Linked DNA regions of Nothobranchius furzeri. The main gene of each other region encodes a partner of the protein of the gene in region 3 in a complex. Links are inferred from orthologs where the notes say so. Each region holds a gene or a part of one and is shown on either strand. Other genes may lie near its edges. The genes, in order: e2f1, cdkn1bb, ccna2, cdc6, rb1, rbl1 and samhd1.

Region 1 (4,256 bases), on a different chromosome or scaffold from region 3:
CATTTACCATTTCAGCCAGTAGGAAGCAGAAGCAGGAACGTGTTGCTTTAATATCGATTTCCTCTGCTACAAAGACGACATCCAGTTCTACCTTTCCATGCTCCCCTCTGATTTTCTTCCTCATGAAATGGGCATCATCGACCCGTTTCTACTCTTCAATCATTTTTAAAAGCTCATCTTTTAAAAAATCCATTTTGTGTCCAGCTGCATTTTTGTCCCTGCTTTTATTACGTTTTTTTTACCTTTGCTATTTCCCCTTTTTCTTTTATTAAAAAGGAACCTCGAATTGTATTATTATTATTATTATTATTATTATTATTAAAGTGGTTGTTGTCATTATTTTTATTTTAACCAACAGCCAAATGCACCTTGCCCTAAATAAATTATAAAAGAAAGCAATGACAGCCTAACTTATATGCTAGTGCGTCCTACTGCTTACCCATAGACTGAATAGTGGGCGTGGTTGACACATTTTGATTATTTGGGTCAGGAACTCCAGACTGGCCATCAAGCAGAGACTGAACAGCCAACACAGTCTGGTTGTCCATGCCTAGAGAGAGTGAAACAACAGAGGGGGGAGGAAACAATGCACGTGTTTACATTTAAAAGCTCTGCTTGATAATCTAGTAGCACAATAATAATCAACTACCTATTAAACATACGTAGTGTAATTAATCACCGTTATTGTTTACATGTACATACCAACCTAGCAGGGTGGTTTGATTTTTGTAACATTAGTAAACACCTATGCATAGTTTCACAATTATTTCCACATTTTAAAATGGCTCTAAACATGTTTATCTATAAAAAATATTTTCTGACATGTAAACATGTTGGTAGCTATGTAGTTAACAAAAATATTGCTACCTTCAAGCACCTCGAATATTGCCTGCGCCATCTTGCAGATTTCTGAGAGATAGGCGCTCGATTAGCAAGGGCTGCTACCTAAAGGACATTTCTATTCTGTAAATTCGACGAGATTTTTACGAATAATTCGTGTTTGAAAAAATATACTGTTCAATAGAGAGCTGCATAAACTGTTTATAATATGATGTGGACATTCCTGACAGTCTTAAAACAAAATAGCTAAAACATCAAATGTTTTAAATAGCATGCAAAATAAAATACAAGTCACGTAAGGACTTTAATTTGTAAGTTCGGTCACGGCTTTTCAATAACTAATATATGTTATTAAATGTTTAATATGTGACATCAGATCAATGTATCATTGATATGTTGATTTTGATCTAAGCGAAATGATTGTAAACGCTAGTTAGTTGAGGTTCTTCCGTGGAACCTGAACGCATCTTCATATCGACTAGTCTGTGCTCGTCTACATGACGGACACTCATTTACACCAATCAGAAAGCTCCGGTTTCTCTTCGAAGAATGTGCATCTTTTTGGCCAATGGCGAGCGTCAGATTTCCCCACGTGCAACTTTCGCGGCAAAATGGATTTCGCGCGAAAACCGACCAACGCTTGTTTAGATGTAGATCAGCTGGGACAATAACAACAATAACGGCTGATATCGGGCTCGGGTGGACACTTTCATGAGAGAACCGCAGCCCTGGTGAGCAGCTGAAAGTGCATCGGCGGCGGTTTTAAAGCATGCGTTTGTACTTTGACCGTTTTGTTTCGTTTTTTTAATTCCAGTTTTGTCTGACTGCTTCCTGCAGTGCCCCAACAAAACGAGGGGACTGAAGAACTGCGGCTAATGACTAAAGCTAACATGCTAATCTGCCCTACATTTCCACACTCAACATAGTAACTGTTATAAGGTCTTTGTTAGCCAGACGTTTTCATAAATACCCAATCAATGATGCTTTTGAGTCACGGCGATGCCGTTCGACTTCTCTGTATTTTGCTTTGTTAGCTAACTTTGAAAAGCTGATTTAAAGTTTCCGTAGCTTAACCGTTGTCCCAGTTTCGGATGTTTGGTGATTGTGGTAGTTTTACGGCTGGGAACGGCTCGTTCCGCGCCTCCTTCGAGAACTATTCCGAGGCTTTGTTGTTGAGCCATGAGTTAGCCTGCTAGCCGTGTCGGTAGCTGTGTGTTCAGGCCGCGGCCGAACTCTGCTGACAGGAGGCACGAAAACAAAAGATTTGCTCGCTCCGTCGCTGGCGTCCTTATGTTTAGCGTTTATTCAGACCCGCGGCAGGGTCTCGCGACCCTGTTTTAGGTGCTAATCCCGCGTTAGACCCTCATGGCGTAGAGATATTGTGCAATTTAGCAATGATCTGTCATTTTCCTGTTTGGCAGAACATCCAGTTTCTCCGTTCGGTCTGAAGTTGATTTGGCAAGTTCTGTTTATTTATCACTCTTTGAGTTAAACTGTAATAAATGTTTGTCTGTGAGGAAAACAACTTGTTCCAATTTGGGACGTTTGAGCATTTTTTACTCCTGCTCCACGAATTTACAGAGAACTACAAATGTCAGCAGGTGCTGATGTGCTTTTAGAGTACACCATCTTAGCCTGTGACCCCTCCCAGCACACCCAAAGACTAGTGAAGGAGCACTTGGTGACCCAGTGCAATGTCAGAGACTCTGATAACAGGGCAGACATCGGAGGATCTGTTGGTTGACTTTGAGACCTTGCTGAACTCTGGGAGTATAAAACTGGGCGAGGACCATCAGGTAGTCATCATCACCAGCCCCAGCAATGAGGGACTCCACCCTGTTGCAGCCCCGACCAGCACGGGGGAAATCCTGCTGTTCGCCACGCCACAGGGGCCCGCTGACGTGGGGGCCCAGGACAAGAGGCGGCCAGCTCTGGGAAGACCTCCGGTGAGGAGAGTGGGAGTGAGATGAGGTTAAATGAGAAGTTTCATGTCATATTTTGCTTTTTAAGCATTTTCTTCAAGGTGCAACAATAATTTTACTGTGAAATAATCCCATAACAGTCTAACATCTGAGTGGTATTGGAAGAACGGTTACGTTAAAAACAGATTTCCTTCTCAGCCGGCTATGGGGTCGTCAGGTTTCCTAGTTTAACTTAAAAACCAAAGAGGAAGGTAGTCTTTGTTTACAATCTGTCCCAATTCAGTACTTCCTGGTTCCAGAGCCAATCATACGTGCCCGCAGGTTTGCCAAGTCTGCACCGACATTTGTAATTTGACATCGGCCGGCATGATGCTGCGGCGTTGTGGAACAAAATGGAAGTCAGTAAAAAGAGCGACGTTATTTCATGTAACCCCGAAGAAGCCACGGCCTCTTTTTGTTGTGTTCTTAATGCAGAGGCTAACATTGAGCTAACAATGCTAACGGTGGATTACAAGCAAACTTCGATACTACAGCAAAATATATTTATCTACTCGTCAAATTACCGCGTATGACTCGTCTTTGCTCATCATCTAGAATCTTCTGGTGCCGTGCCGTAACTGGCAACAGTGGCTCAGAACAGACTCGTTTGTTTTGATTCACGGACTGCAGTACCCAGATTTGACCACAGGATGTCGTTCTGACTCCGTGCATCTTTAGGTAACACACAAATATAACGTATTCCATGCTTCCATCTTCAGGTAAAGAGGAAGTTGGACCTGGATAGTGACCATCAGTACATCAGCACCACCCAACCTCCCACGGGTCAAGCTCCGCCTTCTACGCCTGCTCCTCCCAGAGGTATGCACCCACAAACGCACTTTTGAGTTTTAGTATAGTGGATTTTTCAAATTTAAGGAACTGTGCTTTTCTTTAGAATGAAAGTAAAGTACAGCGACGACGAGCCTTAAAGGGACTTTACGGACTTGTGAATTTTTATGCTCATGATTGCCCCCTCAGGCCAAAAACGTAACAGCAGCTTTAATAGTAGGCTCGTGCACGAGGCGCGCATGCTGTACGTGCACACTCCTTAACGAAAGTAACAGCTGAGACAGTCCCGTGTGTGTGTGTGTGTGTGTGTGTGTGTGTGTGTGTGTGTGTAGCCCGGAGGACAGAGGACAGGAGAACGCGCAGCTAATTAATTAAATAATTTGGTTCTGTACCTTTCTCTTCAGCACAGCCGACAAAGGTTTAAGATGGGTCAGTCCTCCTGCATGCTCAGATCATTCCCTTCCCTTGCTTGAAAAATTGTTCCAAAATGAAACGTTTTTGGTTTTCTGTGACTTCAAATGCCGTTCGGCGAGTCTCAAATAAAAATTTGGGCATCTTACTGTAAAAAATATACCATTAATGTAAAAAGTAAACTCTAATTATACTATGTTCACATCCAGAATCAAACCCAGATCTTCTGCACGAGAGTCAGACGTCTTACTAGGT
Region 2 (3,844 bases), on a different chromosome or scaffold from region 3:
TTTGGCAGTCAGTGAGAAGATTTTGATGGACTTTTACTTTATAAGTATTTGTTTTTATGGACATATAAATATGTAAATGCATAGCTGTGATGCTTATTTAAAAGTGTGGTATTAAAGTATTTGATAAGATTGGTTTCTTGCTGATTTTGTGCTGCAATAGTTTAGTCAAGTGAACACAAGATGGCGCTATTGTTTTAATGGCTGGCTGTAGCCGGCCTCATCTGCACCACTTATCCTGCTGTGACCCTTTTAAGTAAACATTTTTTCCAGTAAAAGTACATTGCATCATTTCTCACAAAACAGTTTAAACACTGCACTTTTATTTTGGAACATGAGGCCAAAATCAGCCTTACGTCTGGTGTTTTATTTTCTGTCAGTTTGTGTAAAAAGTAACAAAAGGAGAAAAAAGGTTTTCATGCAGTCATTGACAAAAAGAAACTACCTTAAATTATTTGTATTATATATATATAATGATGTAATTCTCTCTTTTGGGAGTGCATGCTGACTTTTATGTGAAATTGTGAATTTTTTCAGCTGCGATGTAAAAACCAATGCTCGACCCACGGCAGGTTTGATTTCTGCAGGTTCTTGGCTTATTAGTTTTGTTTTACACTCCGTTGTAGTGTGTCTTTGGCATACGTGTGTTGCTTTATGATGCTGGATTTTTTTTTTAAATTTGGTAAATATTTGGTTAATACTTATATTTAGAATAAATCAACTATTAAAAACAGAGTAATGCACACTGAAGATGTTTAGAAAAATAATGGTTTTGACTCCTTTGCAAATTACCTGTAAATTTAGTATTTTTTTTAGATGTGTAACTATAAAGCTTGTGTGATGTAGTCATTTACACAAAAATACGTTTTCTATTTTTAAGAAGCATACATAAATATTTATTTTAGTAAAACGTGATGGAAAAATATGAGCCGACTTCCCCACTCATACACGCCTACTGTCACTTTAAATAAAGTAGGTGGGGCCAGGTGTCGCTTAACCAATGAGCGTCCTTTGCCGGGTTTAAATAGCTCTGTGTGTCAATCATAAGCCCCTCCCCCTCCCGTCTCAGTCCCCACCACTGCTCTGCTCCTCAATCGCCATATTGGGTGCTGAGGTTTCTCTGCAGTTTCTCTCTGAGCGGAGCGAAACTGACAGCGTCCTCAGTTCCTGTGCACTTTGTTTTGATGATTCTCGGAGACCATCTTCGACTCCAGAGCCCCGCAGCAGTTAACGTCTTCCACTTCGACGTATGCATGGCATAGGTGTAGAGCTGCGTCGGATCTTTCCCCCGTGACCTGGAGATACCGCTGTTGTTGTTTTTTATTTGTATTTTTTTTTCAGCGACGTGTTTTTCTTATGACAGCTGGACGCTCCCGGCTGACTGAAAATAGCGTGTTTATTGGGGGGAGGGGAAATGTCTAATGTTCGAGTTTCAAACGGGAGTCCGACGTTGGAGCGGACGGAGGCCCGGGTGTCGGAGCACCCGAAGCCGTCTGCCTGCAGAAGTCTGTTCGGCCCGGTGGATCACGAAGAGTTAAAGAAGGATTTTAACGAACACATGCGGGAGTTCAAAGAGGCTGCCGCTGCCAAGTGGGGCTTCGACTTCGCCAGTGACACGCCACTGAGCAACGGCAGGTTCAAATGGGAACTAGTGGATTCCGAGGAGATGCCGGACTTCTACCACCGGCAGCCGCGGAGGGAGAAGGGCGTCTGCCCCAGGAGCACCAGTGTGGATCTAAACGGGAACCATAACTGCGTCCTGGTGGCGTCGAGCGGGGATACCAGCAAGCCCGACGGTCAAACGGAGTGCACCGGGCTGAGGAAGAGACCTGCTAGTCACGGTACTACATTTGCATCTAATCAGGTTTTAGAGCCGGAGCTCGGCTTTCACCCGACAGGAAGCACATCTATAACCCTCTTCTTGTGTTTTTGCTCCGAGTTTCCCTGACAGAATTTCTTTGCTGTTCGCAGAGCCTCCGACCCAAAACAAGAGGTCCCATACCAGCCCAGACGAGGTTAGCTGTCCGAACCTGAGCCACTCAGTAGAACACACACCCAGAAAGCCCAGTCCCAAGAGACAGACGTGAGCCCGAGAGAAAACGGTGAGGCTTAAACTCATCCGTATACAATAACCGCATGTAGCTTCTGTTCCTCAGCTGTGATCTGAGCCACAGCAGGTTATATAACACGTTCTCTCCACATATTATCGAGTAGCTTTAACGGTGCTGCACGCTTATTTTATCTTCAGTAAGTAAAATGCTGGACTCTAGTAACCATTTCAACATTTTATATTCATTTAATCACAATGAGATCAACTCTGCCGAGAGAAAAAGGCTTTAACGTCTCACTGCTGCAGCTTTTCTACTAAACTGTAAACAAGGGCTGAACAACAGTGTAGTAGTAACACGTCAGCAGCCACTGCCCTCGGAGCAGAGCAGAGAAGGGGCTGGTCTCTGAACACACACACGCACGCACGCACACACACACACACGCACGCACGCTGTCCCTGCAGGCAGAGGAGTGTGCTGAGGAGACCCGCAGGTCCGAATTCAAGTAAAGGGAGGAGGGATGGGCACGATGAGATCTTCCTCACAGTGGTTTAGGACCTGTTTAGGCTGCAGATGAGAACACTTACATCAATGTTTCTTTTTAGCACAGAAATTTGAACAATAACCGGGTGTGATTCAATATGAGGATGTTTTTCTGTTCAAAAGTAAATCCTTGAAAGATTTTATTATAAAATATGATGAAAGAACTGCACTAAAAGACAAAATAGCTGTTAGTTTCATAAGTGTGTGTGTGTGTGTGTGTGTGTGTGTGTGTGTAACAGGTCAGTTTAGCTTAACCTTGTTAGTCTTTTTAAAAATAGGAAACTGATAGGGGGTGCACACTTGAAATAAACAGTCTAGTTATGAAAAATAATTAAAGTGAAACTTTTTCCATGAATTGTTAAAAGATGATTTTTCAAAAATGTTAATACTAACCTTTTTTTTTTCTTATTTTTCCCACCTTCTCCACACAGTTCGAGCATTTTTTTTTTTGCGAGGGTGTTGTTTTTTATATGCATCTTTTATTTTATTTTTTTGGAGGCCTGACTGTTTGTTGGCTTTTTGGGGATGAGGATCTGCGCAGCATCAGAAACATATCGGCTCTTCTGAGGACTGAGGAGGACGCTGTTGAAGCACTGAATAGAAACACTAAAGTTGTGGCACTCAATTAAAAATAAGTTACTGCCTCTAACAGCAGTCGATGTAGCAGTGTGCAATTAGGTTTTATTTCCCTTTTTTGCTCGTTTTGTTACTACCTGTGTGTAAATAAATTAATAAAGATGGATATATATATATATAGGTATAAATATGTCTCCATGTGTAGCACATAAGGAACTTAATTCTAAATCCAATCCTTTTTGTAAAAAGTTGTGAATTTTCATTTGACTTGAAGAATTGCAGTGATGGTTTCCAAAATGCTGTTTTTTATTTTTATTTCCAGACTGTGTGACATTTGCCACTGTCCTTAATTGCTACACTTAAAAAGAAAAAATCATGGCTTCTCACCGTTTCTGTAGTGTTCCTTCACTCCGTCAGCTTCCTAATGCAGCAGTGAAGAATGGTACAAATGTAGCTCACGTATCGTAATTTAATTTGTTTTTTCATTTATTACAGCGCCTCCCTGCAAAGGGCTGGACTCGTCTAAACGACGAGGAGATGTAAAAATTCTGTTAAGATTTTCTGATATTTATTTTTTAATCGAGGTGCTTTTAGCATCAGAGTCCTGGAATATTATGAAACAATTTTTTTGAAGTTTTTCTGTGCGCCTCAGCTACGTTTTAATGTTCGAGTGTTTCCTT
Region 3 (4,003 bases):
ATTTTGGATGAGTCTGCTAACCTTCTGGAGGAGTACAAGAAGCAGCCAGCCCACCTTGAAAGGCTTTACGGTAAAGCTGGAGTAAAAAGAACTAACTTTCACTGTTGATTAATTTTTGTTATTGTTGCTTTTTGATTTTCACTTTATAAAGTTTTGTGTGTATTTCTGTTTTCCTGCAGGAATGATCACTGACCTCTTCATCGACAAATTCAAATTCAAGGGCCAAAATGTGAAAACAAAAGTGTCCTCGTTGTTGGAGATACTTGATAATTACGAATTAAAGTCACTCTTAGACTTTTTCAATGAGCCATGATGCCATAATGGCCAAAGATGATCTATCTCTGTGACGGTTGTTGTGTTGCAATCTTTACATGACGATAGTTCATCTTTGAGACTGTGTTATTTTGTTAAATTTTATTTAGAAATAATTTACTCTCCCTTAAGAGTTGAGTAATAAATTACTTTTGATGTATTAAGGCGTACTGCAAATGGTTAGGAGAATACTGCAATACTCTTATTTTCATGCAAGAATTTGATGGAATTTGTTACAGTTATAGTATGTGTGTCAAATGCTACTCAATTTAATATCTAATCTTTCTGTATTAAACCAGTCCTTGTGCAGTAACTTGTCAGTAAAAAATAGCTAACACACCAATTGTTTTCAATTTTATTCCATATTATTTACATCTTAATGTAATGTACCTCATGCTACAACAGATTCGTCAAGAAACAAGTTGTTGCTGTATACTGGGTTAGGTACTTCCATGTGGATTTAAGTTTTATACACAAATTTATCTAATCAGCATAAGTGGTCATTCAACCTAATGTAAGAATAGGACACATGAAAAATAAAGCCAAACATAAAAATACAATAGTATTTAAACATTTTAAATTATAGTCTTATGAGTAATTTCTTAAACTAAACATATGTGCAAGTCTTTCAGTAAACAAGTATACTGGTGGACCTAGAAATGACCTCAAGCACGAGCCCTAGGTTAGGAAGACGTCTAAGTATGTTGAAGTGCTTCTAATGATATAAATATACATAATTGTTGCAGCAAAGATTTTTATTCCAAATGCGTTAACGTTGTTGTTACTCGCGTTTAACTTTGTATTTGGGATCTTTTTTTCAAACCGGTTTTAAATTTGCAATTAAAGTTTTTTGTCCCTCCTCGCCTCCTACACTTGTAATACGTCAGTTCCTTCGCGGTCTGTGATTGGTCGGTTTCAATCATCGCGGGCTACTTGAACTCTCTAAGTGTTTGCATGAAAATGCATCGACAATAGCTGCTGTCATTGTGCAGGTTTGTACCGGATACAAAACTTATAAATAGAATGGCAACTTAGTTTTTCCTTAGTTTTGCCAACCCGATGTCAAAGGTGCACGTTTGTTTTTATTTGCTTTGTTCTAGCGCTGCAGTTCCAAGTGCTGTTGCCATCTCAACAGTTTAGTTCTGATTCACGATTCAGTCTGCTGTGCAACAGCTAAAGCTCGCTTCGACATAACTGCTCACACGCCATCTTTTTTAGCCTTTTGATTTGTAAGCTTTCCTCTTTTTTTCGCTCTGTGAGGAAGCACACTACGGTTGACCACTGCTTTTTTATTTATTTGTTTTTTTGTTAAAAAAAGTGCGGAGAAGTGGATTCTCTCTTGGAGGGTGGAAACATGTCAGGAGCTAACAGGCAAGGAAATGCGGCTAGTGAGCTCCCCAACCATGAAAACATGCTTTCAAGGCTCAGAGGGTCGCTTAAACACCGAGCTGGTGAAAACCAAGAAAACCAGCCTCCCAAACAAGCCGCCAACAGAACCGTGCTGGGAGCCCTGCAGAACAACCATCGGAGCAAAGCCCAGAACCAGCGAGGCGCTAAACAGGTAACAGGCTAGCAACCTTGGCCTAAGCTAACACCTAGGCAGGCTCTGAAGGCAACTAAAATGGTTACATTTGGATGCAAGTACGTTAATTAGCTGCTTTAAGCGCCTTTTTAAAAATGAAGTAAAATGACATGTTATGTTGCTCTGTTAAGTTTCCCCTGCTTTCCGCCATTTTAATAACCTTATAGCCCTTGAGTTGCTTTGTTCTAAACACAAATGTGCTTCTGGAGAACCTCCCGTCTTCATTTACTGTATTTAAGTCAATTTACACAAGATTTTCTTTGCATTTACAAGTATCCTGTAACCGAGACTTAACACAGAGGTAAAATTAATTTAGCATAATCTGTAGACTTCTTTTATTTATTTTTTTACACACCTGCATGTTTTTCGTGTTCTAATAAAGGGCATACATTTTGGGTCCTTCCTAATACATTTTGCTATTGTAGAGTTAAACTAATTAATCACCAGCTGGTCTGAGAAGAGAAGTTTTTGAAATACTAATTTATTACCTTTTTAATGTAGTATTAATAGTTAATAATACTTTATAATATATTGCTTCCACTGAGCCTCACATTAACAGAAATGCAAAGAAATTTGCTATATTTGAATCACATTTTCCACAGAAGTTTCTAATTCACAAATCAAGTTTTGGCAGATGTCTGTACATTACAGATTTTTTTTTTTTTTTTTGTTCCAGGAAACATCACAGCCCTTGGCTTGCAAAAATGAAGATTTTAACAAAATCCTTGTTGAAAGACCTGTTAAGCAGCCAGCTTTCCAGATCCATGTGGATGAGCCTGACGTAGCCTGTGACAAAAAGCATGTGGCTGAAACAAACAAAGCGAAGCCCACAGTGGAGGAATCTCCTCTGGTTGTCAGTCATGCTGTGGCACGACTCCGACAGCCCCTGGCAGTGATCGAGGTTCCGGTTCCGTTAGCCATGGATGTCAGCTTTGGTGGGTTAATATTCAATTCAATTCAAAAATACTTTATTAATCCCAGAGGGAAATTGATTGCTGTAGTAGTTCAGTTCAGTTCACTTTATTTCAAACATATACATTCACCAACATTTCATAAAATCATTCCACGCAATTGTTTGAAAAGGAGTAGGGAGAAGTGTATACTTATTTAGCCCTACCCCTCAGGTTTACATCCTCATCAAAATTTAAACAACAAAACAGTTACAATGCCTTCAAAAAAAAAATAACAATAATAATAAATAAATAAAATTATCATGTTCAACTAGAACTACATTTAGATTTTCTAATTTGTAGAATAGATTAAACATCAGTTTGCATGCCGTCCTGGGTTAATTGCATTTTCTTCATTCTTATACTTATTTAACATTTCTTTTTTGAGTTTTATTTTAAACTGGTTTACATTACTACTATCCTTTATTTCTTCTGTTAACTCATTCCAGAATTTAACGCCCGCTATTGAAATAGACATCCTTTTCAATGTTGTCCTTACTCTTTGTACTTTTAAATTCCACTTCCCTCTAAAATTATACATAAAAATAACTCAGAATAATAATAATAATATATAATATTAATAATATTAATCAAGTCATCAAAGAGTTATTGTATATCACAATGGCTGTTGGCAGGAAGGATCTCCAGTAGCTGTCAGTGTTGCAGCAAAACTGAAGAAGCCTCTGACTGAAGACACTCTTCCATTGTCGGGCAGTCTTGTGAAGAGAATGCTCAGGGTTGTCCATCATTTTCTTGATTCTCTGGAGAATCCTTCTTTGCATTATCTCCTCCAGCGGTTCCGAAACTGCCGAAACTCTGGCTGAGTCCTTGAAAAGGCTTGGAGTTCCTCCATCCACATTGCCCATTATGATCGATGGAAGAGATGGTTTGAATTTCCTCTTTCTCTGTCTCCGTCCCGCTCTGCACCCACGCTTCTTGCGTTTTAGCTCATTTGGGATTTGTGGCTTCAGTTGAGGTATTATTTCAGTCTTTCCAATGTTAATCAGTTGCTCCCGATTGTAAACCAGACGGTTGCCATGGTTACGCATCACAACATGCTCAAAGTGAAAAAAGCTAAAAGTAGCAGTAAAAATCCTCCAAGCTTCACAGCACCAGAAACAGAAAAGTGTCCAAAAAATAGTTTTTCTTGAGAAACTAG
Region 4 (2,863 bases), on a different chromosome or scaffold from region 3:
ACCGAGTGCATGCCGAACCGTAGAGAGATCTGAATGGATCGCGGGTCAATGATGATCCATTGGTTGCACCCCTAGGGCGCGGCCACGATGTACTTAAACGCCTGGACACAGGGGGAGGTGAACGCCGGTATAAATGACAGACAAAGCTTGGGCACCACCCGGGCTGTAAGTCATCAATTATTTACCGCCCAACGAGAAAATTTACCGCCAATGGCGCTCGGCAGTTTACGTTTCCACACCTGATATGACAAGGAGGAAGCAACCAGATGATGAGTAAGAAGATGCCTAGAACCGAGCCTTGGAGAACTCCTGCAATAACCAGGGATGAACTAGAAGAGTGGAACTGAAGTTGAATGTACTGAGTATGGTCATGTTATGCTCTCGTTACTTATTACTCTTCCCAAACTGAATTTGCTACTTGGGGGCTTTAACTTGTTCAAAAGCTCATAAATTTAGCATGTGTCAGTTGTGGAGTATTTTAAGGATTAGCTCAAAATAGAGGAACAGCGCCCCTAGCAAGGCCCTAGTAAATGAAGATTTAGCCTCAAGCCACGAGTCACATCGAAACTTTAGAATGATTAAAAGTCTTTGACCCTTTGCTTTCAGGAGAGCCGTGGAGATGGCCGAGGCTGAGGGCAAGAGAAGGCCAGCAAACCTTAACGGAGAAACAAAGTGTGAGTTTCCTGGGAAAGCTTGGCTCTTGGGAAATGTGGAGAGGAAACTGACTCAAGTGTGCTGTCTTCTGCAGCGGTGGGTCGGGTCGGACTCCCGCAGGTGGTGCGGATTCTGTCAGAAGTGTATGGTGACCGGATGACGTCTCAGAGCGGAGAGTCTGAGGGAGAGAGTTTCCCTCTGCAGCAGAAGCTGCTGGTCTGCTGCCTCCTGCTCCTCACCAGCAAAGGAAAGGGCAAAGAAACCCATCTGGGGAAGGTGAGCCTGATCCAACGAATGTTTAGGCAAGGCAGCTTTATTTCTAGAGCACCTTCCAAACACAGGCAGTTCAATGTGCTTTACAATTATCAGGACATGACATAAAAACACAAACTAAAACACACACAGATAGAATTACAGTCTAGAGCTAAAGGAGAAGACAGTTACATCACAGATTACAGTGGAGACGATGCATGGTAAGAAACGATTCATGTAAAGGCTGATGAGTACATGAGGGTTTTTAGGGTTAAACAACACTAGGGCTGGGGCAGGTCTGAGGTCATGGGGAAGCTGATTCCATATGTGAGCAGCATAGTAACTAAATGCATCTCCACCATGTTTGGTTCTGACCCGAGGTTCTACCAGCTGATTGTTTCCAAGGATCTCAGAGCCCTGTTGGGTGTTTATATACAGGAATGAGATCGGACATATTTTCTGGTCCCATGCCATTGAGTTATTTATAAACTAGTAGGAGCACTTTGTAGTCTATTCTGTAGTTTACTGGTAACCAGTGTAGGGATCTAAGAACAGGAGTGATGTGCTCCGTTCTCTTAGTTCTTGTTAAGACTCTAGCAGCAGCGTTCTGAACAAGACATCACCTCGGCACCAGAGGAATTCAGAGGTTTTTGTGTTTCAGCTCTATGAGGTGTACAGCCGTGTGTGTGGTCAGAGACACGTGCCAGCAGTCGGGCAGGGCGAGTGTCTGACGCTCTGCAGCCTGCTGGAGAGTCGGGGAATCTTTGCCCTCAAGAAGGCCAAAGAGGCTCGTCTCACTAAGGTACAAACCTGACAGCTGGTCGGAGAGGACACACACACACACACACACACACACACACACACACACACACACACACACACACACACACACACACACACACACACACACACACACACACACACACACACACACACACACACACACACACACACACACACACACACACACACACACACACACACACACACACACACACACACACACACACACACACACACACACACACACACACACACACACACACACACACACACACACACACACACACACACACACACACACACACACACACACACACACACACACACACACACACACACACACACACACACACACACACACACACACACACACACACACACGTGTCAGCTGTTTGAGCAGAACTTGTTTGCTGTTGCAGGTGTTTCTGAAGATTGAAGAGAAGGATGTTGAGAATGCTCTAAAGGACCGAACGCTGCTGGGCAGCATCCTCTCTGCTGGACTAACCTCATGATGTCTTCTGTTAGATTTTTTTCTGTCAGTTTGGATCTTTACTTTTTTATTCTCTGAAGCAGAAGCACTGTTCTACTGGATCGCTGTGCTGTGAAGAGATGGTGTGTTTTCAGATTTTTGAAAGTCTCTTTTGATGCTGTAAATAAACATTCACTGACACACATCCTTTCTTTACATTTATCGGGGGGGGGGGGGGGGGGGGGGGGGTCTCTCAGAACAGAGCCAGGTCACCCCATCAAGGTGAATCAACCTCTGGAACTCGTACTATTTTTAGGAGTGCCTTGACTCAGCCCCCTCACCAGAAAACTGGAGCACTGCAAACACTTACCTCCTCCATAATATAAACCTAAAATGTTGGTGAGAGGTGTGTTATCAGAGGAAAAATGGTGTTGTCTCTGGTCTTAAACTACTCAAGTTGTTTTTCTACCTTCCCAGTTTGTTAAATGTCTGACTGGACAAGAAGTACGCCACCAAGTTGCCTTGTATTTCAATCATCCACACTTGATTTACCCATAATGCATTAGGGGAAATTCTGTCTCCTGCAGGACCTCGTCACAAATCTGATCAGGTCTTAGACAATGCACAACTTTTATTCTTTTCTCTCCTGCAAAGTCTTCTCCCAGCACCAGCAAATTATTATTGAAGATCTTCACCTGTTACCCT
Region 5 (3,500 bases), on a different chromosome or scaffold from region 3:
TATCAGTATTCCTTTACAGAAGACATGATATCTGTCCCTCGGGTGGAAGAGCCGAGCTCTTTTTCTCAGTTCTGTGATCTGTCAGGTGGTTCCTCCTCCCTCGTTCTCTCGTATGTTCCCGCAGCGTCCCCTGTGAGCTCATTGTAGCTCTCTGCTCCTCCTTTACTGTAACTCAGACGTCCCACTGCTGCACGTGTGAGGCTCAGAGAACTCTGTGGCTCAGGGAGGAGTCTGCACAGGGGTCAAAGTCCTCCTTCAGATGATTTGTTTAAAATAAAAATTAAATTTAAATATTTCTGTTGACAAGCAAATGCAGCTGCACTAGAAACACAAATCAGCTGTTGACAAGCAAATGCAGCTGCACTAGAAACACAAATCAGCTGTTGACAAGTAAATGCAGCTGCACTAGAAACACAAATCAGCTGTTGACAAAACTCTTAAGATAATGAGTTACCAAACCTAGTATGTCACGCTACCCACTAGAGCCACAGATTTTGTTTTCGAAACATCGGTGACGTCAGCGGGGTGCAGCATGCGAGTATGACACAAAGAATGTTCCAAACATGTCTGAACACAGTCACATGTGTATTGTGAAGTCACTTTTTTATCATAGGGTAATAAGCCTCCAGGATCCCCCTCCCCAGAGGTGTTGATCTGAGTTGTGTGCTTGTTTATTGTCACACGCTCCCTAAACCGTCAGGATGTTCCAGCTCCATCAGATTCAGTTTAGCAGGTTTTCAGATCTAATCAAGCTTGACGCTGGATGTTCCTGTATCTGTGTCACATACTTGGCGTGTCCTTGTGGCAATATTCAGTGAGGAACAGTTGTGTTGTCAGACCAGAGACGTGTAATATGGACTATTTTTGCGAGGGAAATTTTGTGTAAAGTTCACGTATAACCACTTCCTTTTCACACTTGGGTTGGGGTTGGCGATCAGATCATCAGGCTGCTTGTGTAGGCTGCGGATTAAAGAAAAATAGATATGAAGACTGAGCTCAGATGTAATGATGATGAAACAATGCACACATTTGTACAGGTTTTGTGTGTTTTGTGGTTTGGTTTAAGTGACGATGTGAAAACCTCTCCGGTGTGTTTTTATTCCTCACAGTTTTAATAAATCGTAGGATTAAAGTAAATCTGTGCGTGTGTTTGTGTTGTCAGGGATCCCCGCTGTTTGAGCTCCTGAAACAGGAACGTGGGAGTGGAGCAGAGGAGCAGGTGGAGACTCCCGGCAGTTTCAGCCAGCCGCTGCAGCACAACCACACCGCTGCAGACCTGTAAGTTACTTTACAACCAGTCGGGGAAATAAGATCTCATCTCAGACCCTAAAACCCTTTTTTTTTTTGGGTTAAATTTGTGAAACCGTTGTGCCTCACCGAACTCCATGACTCACTCGCAGTTTCCTGCTGCGCATCAGTGTTTGGGTTTTTCCTGGGATGGAAATGTCACTTATCAGTGTTGAAAGGTTATCTAACATGTTCCACTGGTTGCACTGACGCATGAGCAGATATCTGTCACCGATGCGAGCCGGCCAGTGGGTTTCGCCTCCTGAGTCCCCCGTGAAGCCCGTGTGCAAGTCTGCCCCCGTGGCTTCCTCCAACCCCGCCTCTCAAGCTCCTGGTCAAGTTCCACGACATTCCAAGTCCAACTCCCTAAGCCTCTTCTATAAAAAATGTAAGTAAATTTTAGTTACTGATCTGAGGGCTCAGGGGTTGTCTTGTATTTAGTAAGAAATATTTGTTGAGATGAGCAGTAAAACAAGAGTTGATTTGCTATAAAAATATTTTTAGAATTTCACAAACTCAAATCATTTTTTGCAGAAATGTTATTTTTCTCCTTCGTTTGCATGAACCCAACTGCTCGTTTAACAGCCTTCCTCTCTGAACTCAAAGAAATGAGGTTGAATGTTAACGCTGTAGTTTACACGTGTTTTCTCTGCCCCTTCCTCTGTAGTGTACTGCCTGGCGTACACCAGACTAAAGACGCTCTGCTCCTACTTGTTGTCCTCTCACCCTGAACTGGAGCCCATCATCTGGACCTTGTTCCAGCACACTCTGCAGCATGAGTACGAGCTGATGAGAGACCATCACCTGGACCAGGTGCTTCAACACCAGCATGACTTTAATCCTCCCGTCTCCACCTCTTGTTTCTTTTTACTATTAAATCACCTGCTTGTCCTTTTGCAGTTGATGATGTCAGCCATGTATGCCATATGCAAAGTGAAGAGTGTCGATCTGCGCTTCAAGTCCATCGTGTCGGCGTACAAGAACCTGCCCAACACCAACCAAGAGGTGGTGCAGCTTCATCCGTAGAAGTGAACTTCCTGTTAATTCACCACTTATTAAACCTGCTGTGCTCTGCAGACATTTAAACACGTCTTGATCACTGAAGGCCAGTACGACTCCATCATCGTCTTTTACAACCAGGTGTTCATGCAGAAGCTAAAAACCAACATCCTGCAGTATGCATCTACCAGGGTAAGTCCACAGGGAAGCTTGGATCCATTTATGACCAGTAAAGCTTACTGCTTTAATACCGATATTTTTTTCCAGCCGCCCCCCCTCTCTCCAATCCCACAAATACCACGCAGTCCCTATAAGTTCCCCAACTCGCCTCTGCGTGTTCCTGGGAGCAACAACGTTTACATTTCTCCCATGAAGAGCTCTCGCGTGTCCCCGGGTATTATTACACCTCGCTCCAGGTCGGTGCTTCATTTTTGTGATTTGAATTTTATTCATTTCAAATGTTTGAAGTATTTTAAAACATCTTATGGTGTTGTTCGTGCCCTTTGCAGAATGCTGGTATCAATCGGGGAATCGTTTGGGGTAGATGGTCACCCTCACAGAATGCTGCAACTCCTTTTTTCCTCTCTCACACTTGACTTATTCATTAATCCTGTTATGTCCTCATCTGCAGCTGTCCAATCGCTTCCAGAAGATCAACCAGATGGTCAGCAGCGATCGCTCCCACAAGAGGACCCTGGATCTGGGATCTACTCCAAAACCTCTGAAGAGGCTCCGCTTCGACATCGACGGGCAAGACGAAACTGACGGCAGGTCGGTTATCACAGCCATGATTTAGTAACTGCGCCTCAAACATGTTTGCTTTTATTTTGGACATAAAGAAAAGTAACTGTGGTATATTAAACAGCTGACTGACGAGTTAGGAGGATTTAAAGTGTCTTTACTGCAATTTACAGCAAACCTGGAGAAGACTCAACTCTGATACAGAAGCTGACAGAGATGAGTGAGTGTGTTTATATTCCTGTTGTTGCCGTTGAAAAGGGTTGGTATTGATCCAGTGGGATTGTTGTGTGCAGGCTCCACTCGGAGTCGCATGCAGGAGCAGAAGCTGAAGGAAGACGCCGAATCCAGGAAGGAGTCACTTTAAAACCAACATGCGCCGATGGCCACGTTGTTCACTACTGTTTAAGTTTGTATTTAATTTTACTCTGATGTCAGAGGGCATGTTCCTCTTTTTGTGTTTTTACTAAATGAGG
Region 6 (4,066 bases), on a different chromosome or scaffold from region 3:
TCTACAGCATGATTAGACACACATTTATATAGTTTATCAGAAAAAAAGTTGATTTGGGGGTGACTTTCTCTTTAAACTAACTGTAATATTTAAACAATAAATCATTTGAAGTTAGAAATAAAATAGTTTAAAGCTGGTTTTAAGGGTGTGTTTAGTCTTGTAATAATCAAGTCTGGTAACTTTCTACGTATGTTGGGTTTAGCAGAATGCTACTTTAGACCATCGGTTAGAGGTTTGTTTTTATAATGAAGACTATCACAAATTTGGTGGTGTTGCTGTGAACATCCTTTATGCTGTTATTACACTATATTTTTAAAAAGATGTGGTTATGGGTTTGACTTTATTGTCTCTTAATTCATCAATAAACTGAATCTGAGCAAAAATGTTTTGAGTTTGTGTTCATTCATTCTTTTAAATGGACAATGTTCCATTTACTATAAAACAACCAAACATGTCTTATATAAATAATTATTTTACTTTAAATTAAGATAGCTTGTGTTATATTTATGGGTTTTTAGAGGTTTTGCAACCGGTGGATCTGGAGCCACATGATTCTAGAAATGCAAGTGGGGGCCAAACAAAAGCACTTCAAGAGCTACAAATAGCCCCCAACCTGCAAATTGGACATGGAGAGAAAAATAGATATGTTGTTGGTGTTTTTAACAAAGTTTTTTTAACAGTGTTTTGAGCATTGCTGTTTTTTTTTTATTAAACAGCTATTTCATTAACATTTTAGAGTATTAAAGACAATAATTCTTGGCAGGCTCTGCAGTCTGCATCGTTCTAAAAATTGTATTTTATAGGGTATACTACATAATATGTTAACTCATTCCCTTTGTAGACAACAATAGGAATAAGAACACTTAAAAGGTCACCTTGTAACATTCGTTTTATTCTAAGACTCAATCCGATTTTGTGGATTGTATTTTGTAAAAAAAAAATCACTTTTTTAAACCTTTGATTAGATGAGCAGGAATTCTATAATAACAGAACACTGCCCTCTGCACGTTAGTTAACGAATTGCTACCAAATTGTTATTGCATACTTCTTTTCTCGACTTCTCGGCATATTTTGTAATTTTACTTTTTAAAGTTAATTATTTCAGACAGCTGTAACTCCATAAAAAGGTGGTTTTAATTAGGAGCGACCTCCTGAAGGAGACCGAGAGGGGTAGGGCAAGAGGGCGAGAGGGCTTCGCATGTCTTGACTTTGATTGGTCAGAGCAGCAGGGTTTTCGCGCCAACGCACTGCATTGTGGGAACTGTAGGCGGAAGTGGGATGCTCGTGGAGCCTGTTTGTTGGTGTTTGGGAGAGGGCAGCGTTTTGCTGGTTAACGTCTGGCTCTGGGGGTTGTTTAAAACTTGATGCTGTAGCTGTACATTGGAACGAATGCGGGGTGACGAGTCGTCGGACTCCGAGTCGGGCAGGATGGAGGAAAGTTCAGTCCGAAGGAGTTTGGAGACATTGTGTCAGGAGCTGAACATGGACGAACAGACCGCTACTGAAGCTATGGACAACTTCACAGCCATATGGAACACATACACTCTGGAGGTGAATAATGTTCTTTAATAACAAGTTACTGTCGAATTAATCAGCCACAACTTTCATCCTACATAGAACTGGATTTCAGTGCTGACACACACTGAGATTAAAGGGATTCAACAACTGACCTGTTTTTAATCTTCCATCCAGGAACAGAAACATATTGTCGAGCAGTCGATCGACGGCATTTGCAAACGTCAGACAAAACCGGACAAAACAAAACAATTATTTTTAGTTTATGACTGACTGATTATTAACAAATATTAAAATCCTCCTGAAATTACATAAGAATAATAAAAAATAATCAAATTGAAATATTTTTTCCAGGTAAAATATATTTTACCGTAAAACAACTATGACTGTCTTTTATTTGTGGTAAAACCATGGGTAGAACATGGTAGTGACATCTGAGTGAATAATAAATCCGTTTTATTTAAATGGATCGGCTTTATTTAAGGTCTGACCAATAATAACAATGTTTAAGATTTCTTTAGTCTGATAACAAAGCAGCAGATGTTCTTTTTCAATTAATATCAGTTTTATTGTTCATACATACTATTGACATCTTAATTAAAAGCAGTTTCCTTTTAACATCGTATCAGAAATCACTATATAATCCTGATTTTTGTTGTTCACCCTGATTAGTATCAGAATTGTTTGTTTGTTTGTTTTTGCCTTTGAATCCGTGTGACAGGAACATAGACAACTGTAGTGCAGTCAGTTTGAAGCATCGTCTAAAATGACGGGACATCAACAAAAGTTGTGCAGTGTTTGTTAGAAGACTTCTGTCTGAGGGATGGGTGTAAACACTGATTATATCCTCAGGGGTCAAAGGTGATTCACGGAAAGAAACGTTCACACAGAGAGGTGTTACAAGGTTATTTTATTCAAAACGATTCTAATCCTAATCTAGGTACAGATTATGAAAGATTAGTTTGTACCTGACAATTTAACCTCCTACAGCTAATGATGCTAGTTGGCTTTGTTTACATCGTTACCTATTAATAATAATGCATTTTATTTAAAAGCGCCTTTCTGGTCACTCAAGGACACTGTACAGAATAAAAACACAAATCATTCAATAAGTAAACATACGTAAACATCAACAAACAAGGCTCTCTAAAATTCAAAGTTGATATGTGGTAATGAAGAGGTGGGTTTTGAGTTGTTTTTTGAATTCTGTGAATGAGTTAATGTTCTTGATGAGAGGGGGAAGGGAGTTCCAGAGTTTGGGAGTGGTGCCGCTGAAGGCTCTACTCCCCATGGTGCTGATACGGAAGGAGGGCACAGAGAGATGAATGGAGGAGGAGGACCTGAGGGAACGGGACGAGGTGACGATGTGAACGAGATCTGTGAGGTAGTGAGGGGCGAGGTTTTGGATGGCCTTGAAGGTGAGAAGGAGAATCTTGTAGTTAATCCTGGTGTGCACTGGTAGCCAATGGAGTTGTTTGAGGATGGGGGTGATGTGATGAGAGATGGGAGTTTTAGTGACGATGCGTGCTGCTGCGTTCTGGACCAACTGGAGCTTACGGAGGATTTTCTGAGGGAGGCCTGAGAGAAGAGAGTTGCAATAATCGATACGCGATGTAACCAGACTATGGACAAGAATAGAAGTAGAGTGGACATCAAGGGAGGGGCGAAGACGATTAATGTTACGAAGATGGAAATAAGCTGACCGTGTGATGCTATTGATATGAGATTGGAAGGATAGTGTGCTGTCTAGGATGACACCCAGACTCTTGACCTGGGGAGAGGGGGAAACTGAATTAACCTCAAATGATTCAGTTATGCTTTTAAACATAAGGCCTCTAACCAAACAGATGCTCCGTTTATCTTTGAGTTTATCTGTCATTCAGAAATGGTTGCTTCTCTGATTTATTAATGAAAAATATTTGTTTGAGAAATTGACCTTCAAAAATACTAATAGTCTGTCTGTATTATAAAAACATATCTCCAATAGATGATAAAATGCTAGTCGTTAAACTCTTCTGAATTATAAATAATTGGACCATTCAGCTGTCTCATTAATTAAAGATGGCAGAATTTTGCGTGCAAAAATCAAACATAGTAATTAAAATGTGCACATAGGTTTTCAGTCATGTTCCGTGTAGTTCTGTTTGCTGTTTCTGCAGCTATTCTTGTATCTGCTGAGTCGCTCTGTGTACTGGAAATAGTGGAGTATTAGTTTCCCAGTTTGCTGTTTATGCTGAGTGAAGACAATTAAAGTGATTTGCTGTTTGTCTGCAGGGGGATGTGGTCCACTGGCTGGCCTGCTCGCTGTACGCTGCCTGCAGGAAGGGGTCCATTCCCACTGTGGGAAAAGGGCTGATGGAGGGAAACTGTGTCTCGCTCACCAGGATCCTTCGCTGCTCCAAACTCAGGTTCAGCGCTATAAACACATGTTTTGTCTCTACGATCCTTATTCTGGTATCTCTGTGTTCTGGTTTGTTCTTAGGGGTTTCTAGAAAACAAATGCAGTTTTAAATAGGGATGCTCTTATCCGGTCCAAGCTAACGTGTCGCCT
Region 7 (3,500 bases), on a different chromosome or scaffold from region 3:
CAAAGGAGGTTTCATCAAAATTGTTTGATGTCTTCCAAGTTTAGACCCGCCTAGTGGCAGTTTGTTACTTCAACATATGTGGCGAGATAGTAAACTGTGTTTCTGTTTAGTGGCCGTACAAAGGACGTCCTGAAGACAAGTCCTTCCTGTATGAGGTTGTTGCCAACAAAAGGAACGGCATCGATGTGGACAAGTGGGACTATTTTGCCAGGTTGGGCTCACGTTTAGATTTCTTTCTAATTTCAAAATTTGTGGGGTTTTTTAAATTTTATTTCATAACTCCTCTTTTCCCCCTGGACATATCTCAGGGACTGCCACCAGCTGGGTATCCAGAACAACTTTGACTATCGGCGCTTCCTTAAATTTGCCAGGGTGTGTGTGGACAAGGGACAGAAGCAGATCTGCACTAGAGATAAGGTGATGGTTTAGTCTTATTCTTTTTTTTTCCTGTGGATGCACCAGTGCCGATACCAAATGCATGTACCTGTACTCGTAAAACTGCTCCCATGCTACGCCACCAATACCAGCATGCTAAGAGCTTTGTTTCCCTTAAACAAACAGCATTAATCTGTGTACAAAAGCACTAATCCAATAAGTGGAGGTAATGCACCAGAAAATAAATAAAAACCAATTAAAAATGAGAAAAAGCTGTAGACAGTAGCTTGCTCATCAAACCATTTAACGGCAGCGCGACTTAAAGCAGCTGAGTAGCAGAGGAGGAGCTATGTCAGCGGTGTGGAGGCATTTCCAGGTGAACAAAGGTGACAAAAAGACAGTAAATTATGTTCATATTTCAGTAACAAGTAATCCAACGCTGTCTGTTTTCATCCTCATCCAGGTTGTGTGATAACAGTTTTAATGTCACTATTTTCAAACTAGTAATCAGATTAAAGTTACTATATGTTCTTATTTCAGTCATTTTCCTCAGCAAAAAGATACATTTGATTTCTTGTTTTGGTGAGCAGCATCGCGTTTTAAACATAAGCCGAACTCTGATAACACCCTGCAGCACAGACCTAAACAGAGGAGGAGAGAATCGCCTTTTCTTTAAATAAAAAGTATCTTTCTCAGGAAGTAGTTTCTAAGTTAAACCTAAAATGTCAGGAGACACATTGCTGACGAGGCTGTTAGTTAGAAGATTTGGTTTTTCAATGTAACTGAGTTGTTTTATGTTGGTAAAATACAATCAGAGGGTGGCTTTTCACCAGTAAAGTAGACCTAAAGTTTATTTATGTTGTAGTGTGTCAAATGAAAGTAAACATTTAACAGGTTGAAGTTTTTAGGAGTGGAACTACATTTACTCATATCTTTTGGACTTTCGTTCACTCTGCTCCTTCTTCATGAAACAGGTTGCAGGAAAACTGGAAATAAACCGAGCTTATTTCCTTAAATCAGATTGCACTCGAGACACACCCCCTGTGTTGCAGCTGCTTTCTATGAAGTATACAATTTTAACTGAGCAACTGAGACATTTTCTAACTGTATTTTTGCTGCTTCTTCTCCACGACCATCCTTGAATCTCAACAGTGGGACTTGTTAAATAAAGAATAAATAAATATAAAATATCAGTACATGGTATTAGTGAGTACTCAAATTTAAGTATCAGTACTCGGTTAAAAGAAGAAACCCTGCTATCACTACTTTTTTATTTTTACATAGAAATTTTATCTGTTTCATGTGACAGGAAGTGGGAAATCTGTATGACATGTTTCACACCAGAAACTGTCTGCACAGAAGAGCCTACCAGCACAAAGTGGGCAACATCATAGAGGTCATGTAAGTTCCCCATCATCCTGCAGGTCCCTGTAGTTCAGGATTTACTGTTGTGTGTTTTATGCAGAGCTGTTTACAGAAGCACTGATGTGTTAAACCTGTTTCTGCAGGGTCACGGAGGCCTTTTTAAAAGCAGATCCACACATTCAGATTGAAGGTTCGAATGGGAAGATGTTTACCATCTCCACAGCTGTAGAAGACATGGTGGCCTACACCAAGCTGACTGGTCAGTAAATGCATCATATTAGAAGAACGTATCTTTAAAGCTGCACTAGAAATAGGAGCCAGTATGTGCTAAAATGACCCTTTACAGGGTTAATGAAAAGCCACCCAGACCCCACTGCCCTCTGTGGCCAGAATACCACACTTGCAACTTCAGAGTGCCAGGCTGCCACCTAAAATTCAGCTGACATACCTGGCACTGCATTCTGCTTCCAGCACATTTCCTGCATGTTTTAGATCATGAACACAGCTGATGTGTTGGATTTAGTGATGAATCGCTCCTGTAGACACTAATGAAGGCTGAGGAAACATTTCAGCTGTTAGATTAAGGTGTTAAAAAGACAAACGCACAGCTAGGAGATGAGTTTCACTTTTGCTTTGAACACAGTTAATTAACTCATTTGCTGCCAGCCGTTTCCTGATCCGTCAAGCCCTTCGCTGCCAGTTTCTCGCCATTTTTACTTTTTTTTTTTAAGAGTCTCAGAACGTTGCACCCTAGGATGATGTCAACGCCAAAACAACCAAAACAAAGAGGAAACTCACCTCTTACATTAGGAAGAATCCACGCATTTCGAGCGTTATCCGTTCTTTCATAATTCGTTGTTGAATTGTGATTGGCAGAAGCTTTTCCGGTTCGCGCCTTTTTTTACAGCAGCGGCCCAAAACGATCTCCTAACACATGGATGTTCTGCTTCCTGATCACGTGACGTGTGACGTATGCGGATGAAGATTGACTTTAGAGCTGAGACGTTTGTTCTCACAGTGCAGGGGCTCATTCCGATGCCTACACAGTAAAAAAAAATGCAAATGACGACTTTAGTCGTCATTGGCAGTGAATGAGTTAAGAATGGGCACTAGGGGGGTACCAAAAGCAAGCAGAACTGCTTAGTATCCCATTAATTCTCCAGTGAAGTAGTGCACTTGTGGCAGGTATTTATTTGAAACTTTGTTTTACTTTGATCACTGATGTCTTTGTGATTTTCCCTGTTTGCCTTTTAGATAATATATTTGAACAGATATTGAACTCTTCCAATCCGGAGCTCACGGAGGCGAGGAAGATCCTGCGAGATATCTTGTGCAGGAACCTCTACAAGTATCTGGGCCAAACTCAGCCAAACGAGCCCTTAATCGTCACCCAGGTTTGTGTTTGTCTTCTCATAACAATTCAACACATTTGGTTTATTTGACCGGGTGGGTTCAGTTTGGGAAGTGATCTATGTGTGGTAAGGAAGAAGGGTTAATTGATTAACATATGTAGCATTGTTGAGTTAAACTTGAAAGTGGTGGTTCTGTCTCTGAGTTTTGTTTGACTTTTATGTGTAATGATTATTTACCTGTAGTATCTCAGAATGTTTGCAGTTTCTAAATGTTGTTGGGTAGTTAAGGTTATAAAATTATTTATAAGGTGTTGATTGAATCAGTAAATTTCTGTAGTTACAGATGCATCACTTTGTGTTTGTTTGTTTTTCCTGTTTGGTGCTGTAATTGTCTAATGTTGACTCTGG

Evidence for each region.
Region 1: the proteins of ccna2 (region 3) and e2f1 are in contact, whole or in part, in a crystal structure (PDB 1H24), measured with the Homo sapiens proteins. The link is inferred for Nothobranchius furzeri from reciprocal best matches to the Homo sapiens genes CCNA2 and E2F1. Residues at the interface, in NP_001228.2 of Homo sapiens: Met210, Ile213, Leu214, Trp217, Glu220, Val221, Glu224, Arg250, Gln254, Tyr280, Ile281, Thr282, Asp283, Thr285; in NP_005216.1 of Homo sapiens: Val88, Lys89, Arg90, Arg91, Leu92, Asp93, Leu94, Glu95.
Region 2: the proteins of ccna2 (region 3) and cdkn1bb are in contact, whole or in part, in a crystal structure (PDB 1JSU), measured with the Homo sapiens proteins. The link is inferred for Nothobranchius furzeri from reciprocal best matches to the Homo sapiens genes CCNA2 and CDKN1B. Residues at the interface, in NP_001228.2 of Homo sapiens: Met210, Ile213, Leu214, Asp216, Trp217, Glu220, Val221, Glu224, Met246, Arg250, Gly251, Lys252, Leu253, Gln254, Leu255, Tyr280, Ile281, Thr282, Asp283, Thr285, Tyr286, Thr287, Gln290, Arg293, Met294, His296, Leu297, Lys300; in NP_004055.1 of Homo sapiens: Lys25, Pro26, Ser27, Ala28, Cys29, Arg30, Asn31, Leu32, Phe33, Gly34, Val36, His38, Leu41, Thr42, Asp44, Leu45, Glu46, His48, Cys49, Asp51.
Region 4: the proteins of ccna2 (region 3) and cdc6 are in contact, whole or in part, in a crystal structure (PDB 2CCH), measured with the Homo sapiens proteins. The link is inferred for Nothobranchius furzeri from reciprocal best matches to the Homo sapiens genes CCNA2 and CDC6. Residues at the interface, in NP_001228.2 of Homo sapiens: Met210, Ile213, Leu214, Trp217, Glu220, Val221, Glu224, Tyr225, Arg250, Leu253, Gln254, Glu277, Tyr280, Ile281, Thr282, Asp283, Thr285; in NP_001245.1 of Homo sapiens: His89, Thr90, Leu91, Lys92, Gly93, Arg94, Arg95, Leu96, Val97, Phe98, Asp99, Asn100.
Region 5: the proteins of ccna2 (region 3) and rb1 are in contact, whole or in part, in a crystal structure (PDB 1H25), measured with the Homo sapiens proteins. The link is inferred for Nothobranchius furzeri from reciprocal best matches to the Homo sapiens genes CCNA2 and RB1. Residues at the interface, in NP_001228.2 of Homo sapiens: Met210, Ile213, Leu214, Trp217, Glu220, Glu224, Arg250, Leu253, Gln254, Tyr280, Ile281, Thr282, Asp283, Thr285; in NP_000312.2 of Homo sapiens: Pro869, Lys870, Pro871, Leu872, Lys873, Lys874, Leu875, Phe877, Asp878.
Region 6: the proteins of ccna2 (region 3) and rbl1 are in contact, whole or in part, in a crystal structure (PDB 1H28), measured with the Homo sapiens proteins. The link is inferred for Nothobranchius furzeri from reciprocal best matches to the Homo sapiens genes CCNA2 and RBL1. Residues at the interface, in NP_001228.2 of Homo sapiens: Met210, Ile213, Leu214, Asp216, Trp217, Glu220, Glu224, Arg250, Gly251, Lys252, Leu253, Gln254, Tyr280, Ile281, Thr282, Asp283, Thr285, Tyr286; in NP_002886.2 of Homo sapiens: Gly654, Ser655, Ala656, Lys657, Arg658, Arg659, Leu660, Phe661, Gly662, Glu663.
Region 7: the proteins of ccna2 (region 3) and samhd1 are in contact, whole or in part, in a cryo-EM structure (PDB 9HIW), measured with the Homo sapiens proteins. The link is inferred for Nothobranchius furzeri from reciprocal best matches to the Homo sapiens genes CCNA2 and SAMHD1. Residues at the interface, in NP_001228.2 of Homo sapiens: Met210, Ile213, Leu214, Trp217, Glu220, Val221, Glu224, Arg250, Leu253, Gln254, Tyr280, Ile281, Thr282, Asp283, Asp284, Thr285; in NP_056289.2 of Homo sapiens: Lys615, Ser616, Arg617, Val618, Gln619, Leu620, Phe621, Lys622.

Annotation. Positions count from the first base shown.
Region 1 is NC_091755.1:51,396,350-51,400,605, forward strand, and holds the start of e2f1 (transcription factor E2F1), read left to right. Parts: upstream 1-1,456; 5' UTR 1,457-1,571; intron 1,572-1,654; 5' UTR 1,655-2,534; coding exon 2,535-2,786; intron 2,787-3,520; coding exon 3,521-3,620; intron 3,621-4,256. Other genes in the region: znf341 (zinc finger protein 341), read right to left, coding at 440-550, 868-898. UniProt on the Homo sapiens protein: Transcription activator that binds DNA cooperatively with DP proteins through the E2 recognition site, 5'-TTTC[CG]CGC-3' found in the promoter region of a number of genes whose products are involved in cell cycle regulation or in DNA replication.
Region 2 is NC_091744.1:57,772,252-57,776,095, forward strand, and holds cdkn1bb (cyclin dependent kinase inhibitor 1Bb), read left to right. Parts: upstream 1-1,145; 5' UTR 1,146-1,411; coding exon 1,412-1,838; intron 1,839-1,968; coding exon 1,969-2,084; 3' UTR 2,085-2,099; intron 2,100-3,019; 3' UTR 3,020-3,344; downstream 3,345-3,844. UniProt on the Homo sapiens protein: Important regulator of cell cycle progression. Inhibits the kinase activity of CDK2 bound to cyclin A, but has little inhibitory activity on CDK2 bound to SPDYA. Involved in G1 arrest. Potent inhibitor of cyclin E- and cyclin A-CDK2 complexes.
Region 3 is NC_091741.1:74,293,420-74,297,422, forward strand, and holds the start of ccna2 (cyclin-A2), read left to right. Parts: upstream 1-1,203; 5' UTR 1,204-1,304; exon of another isoform or gene 1,305-1,630; 5' UTR 1,631-1,666; coding exon 1,667-1,873; intron 1,874-2,570; coding exon 2,571-2,829; intron 2,830-4,003. Other genes in the region: bbs7 (Bardet-Biedl syndrome 7 protein), read left to right, coding at 1-70, 180-313. UniProt on the Homo sapiens protein: Cyclin which controls both the G1/S and the G2/M transition phases of the cell cycle. Functions through the formation of specific serine/threonine protein kinase holoenzyme complexes with the cyclin-dependent protein kinases CDK1 or CDK2.
Region 4 is NC_091747.1:65,956,138-65,959,000, reverse strand, and holds the end of cdc6 (cell division control protein 6 homolog), read left to right. Parts: intron 1-606; coding exon 607-674; intron 675-748; coding exon 749-930; intron 931-1,567; coding exon 1,568-1,708; intron 1,709-2,108; coding exon 2,109-2,201; 3' UTR 2,202-2,363; downstream 2,364-2,863. UniProt on the Homo sapiens protein: Involved in the initiation of DNA replication. Also participates in checkpoint controls that ensure DNA replication is completed before mitosis is initiated.
Region 5 is NC_091750.1:48,268,348-48,271,847, reverse strand, and holds part of rb1 (retinoblastoma-associated protein), read left to right. Parts: exon of another isoform or gene 1-27; intron 28-1,162; coding exon 1,163-1,278; intron 1,279-1,508; coding exon 1,509-1,675; intron 1,676-1,954; coding exon 1,955-2,100; intron 2,101-2,187; coding exon 2,188-2,292; intron 2,293-2,364; coding exon 2,365-2,478; intron 2,479-2,553; coding exon 2,554-2,702; intron 2,703-2,795; coding exon 2,796-2,826; intron 2,827-2,917; coding exon 2,918-3,057; intron 3,058-3,200; coding exon 3,201-3,247; intron 3,248-3,320; coding exon 3,321-3,391; 3' UTR 3,392-3,500. UniProt on the Homo sapiens protein: Tumor suppressor that is a key regulator of the G1/S transition of the cell cycle. The hypophosphorylated form binds transcription regulators of the E2F family, preventing transcription of E2F-responsive genes.
Region 6 is NC_091743.1:73,535,670-73,539,735, reverse strand, and holds the start of rbl1 (retinoblastoma-like protein 1), read left to right. Parts: upstream 1-1,266; 5' UTR 1,267-1,389; coding exon 1,390-1,551; intron 1,552-3,789; coding exon 3,790-3,923; intron 3,924-4,066. UniProt on the Homo sapiens protein: Key regulator of entry into cell division. Directly involved in heterochromatin formation by maintaining overall chromatin structure and, in particular, that of constitutive heterochromatin by stabilizing histone methylation.
Region 7 is NC_091755.1:60,840,837-60,844,336, reverse strand, and holds part of samhd1 (deoxynucleoside triphosphate triphosphohydrolase SAMHD1), read left to right. Parts: intron 1-110; coding exon 111-211; intron 212-308; coding exon 309-417; intron 418-1,684; coding exon 1,685-1,776; intron 1,777-1,883; coding exon 1,884-1,999; intron 2,000-2,994; coding exon 2,995-3,134; intron 3,135-3,500.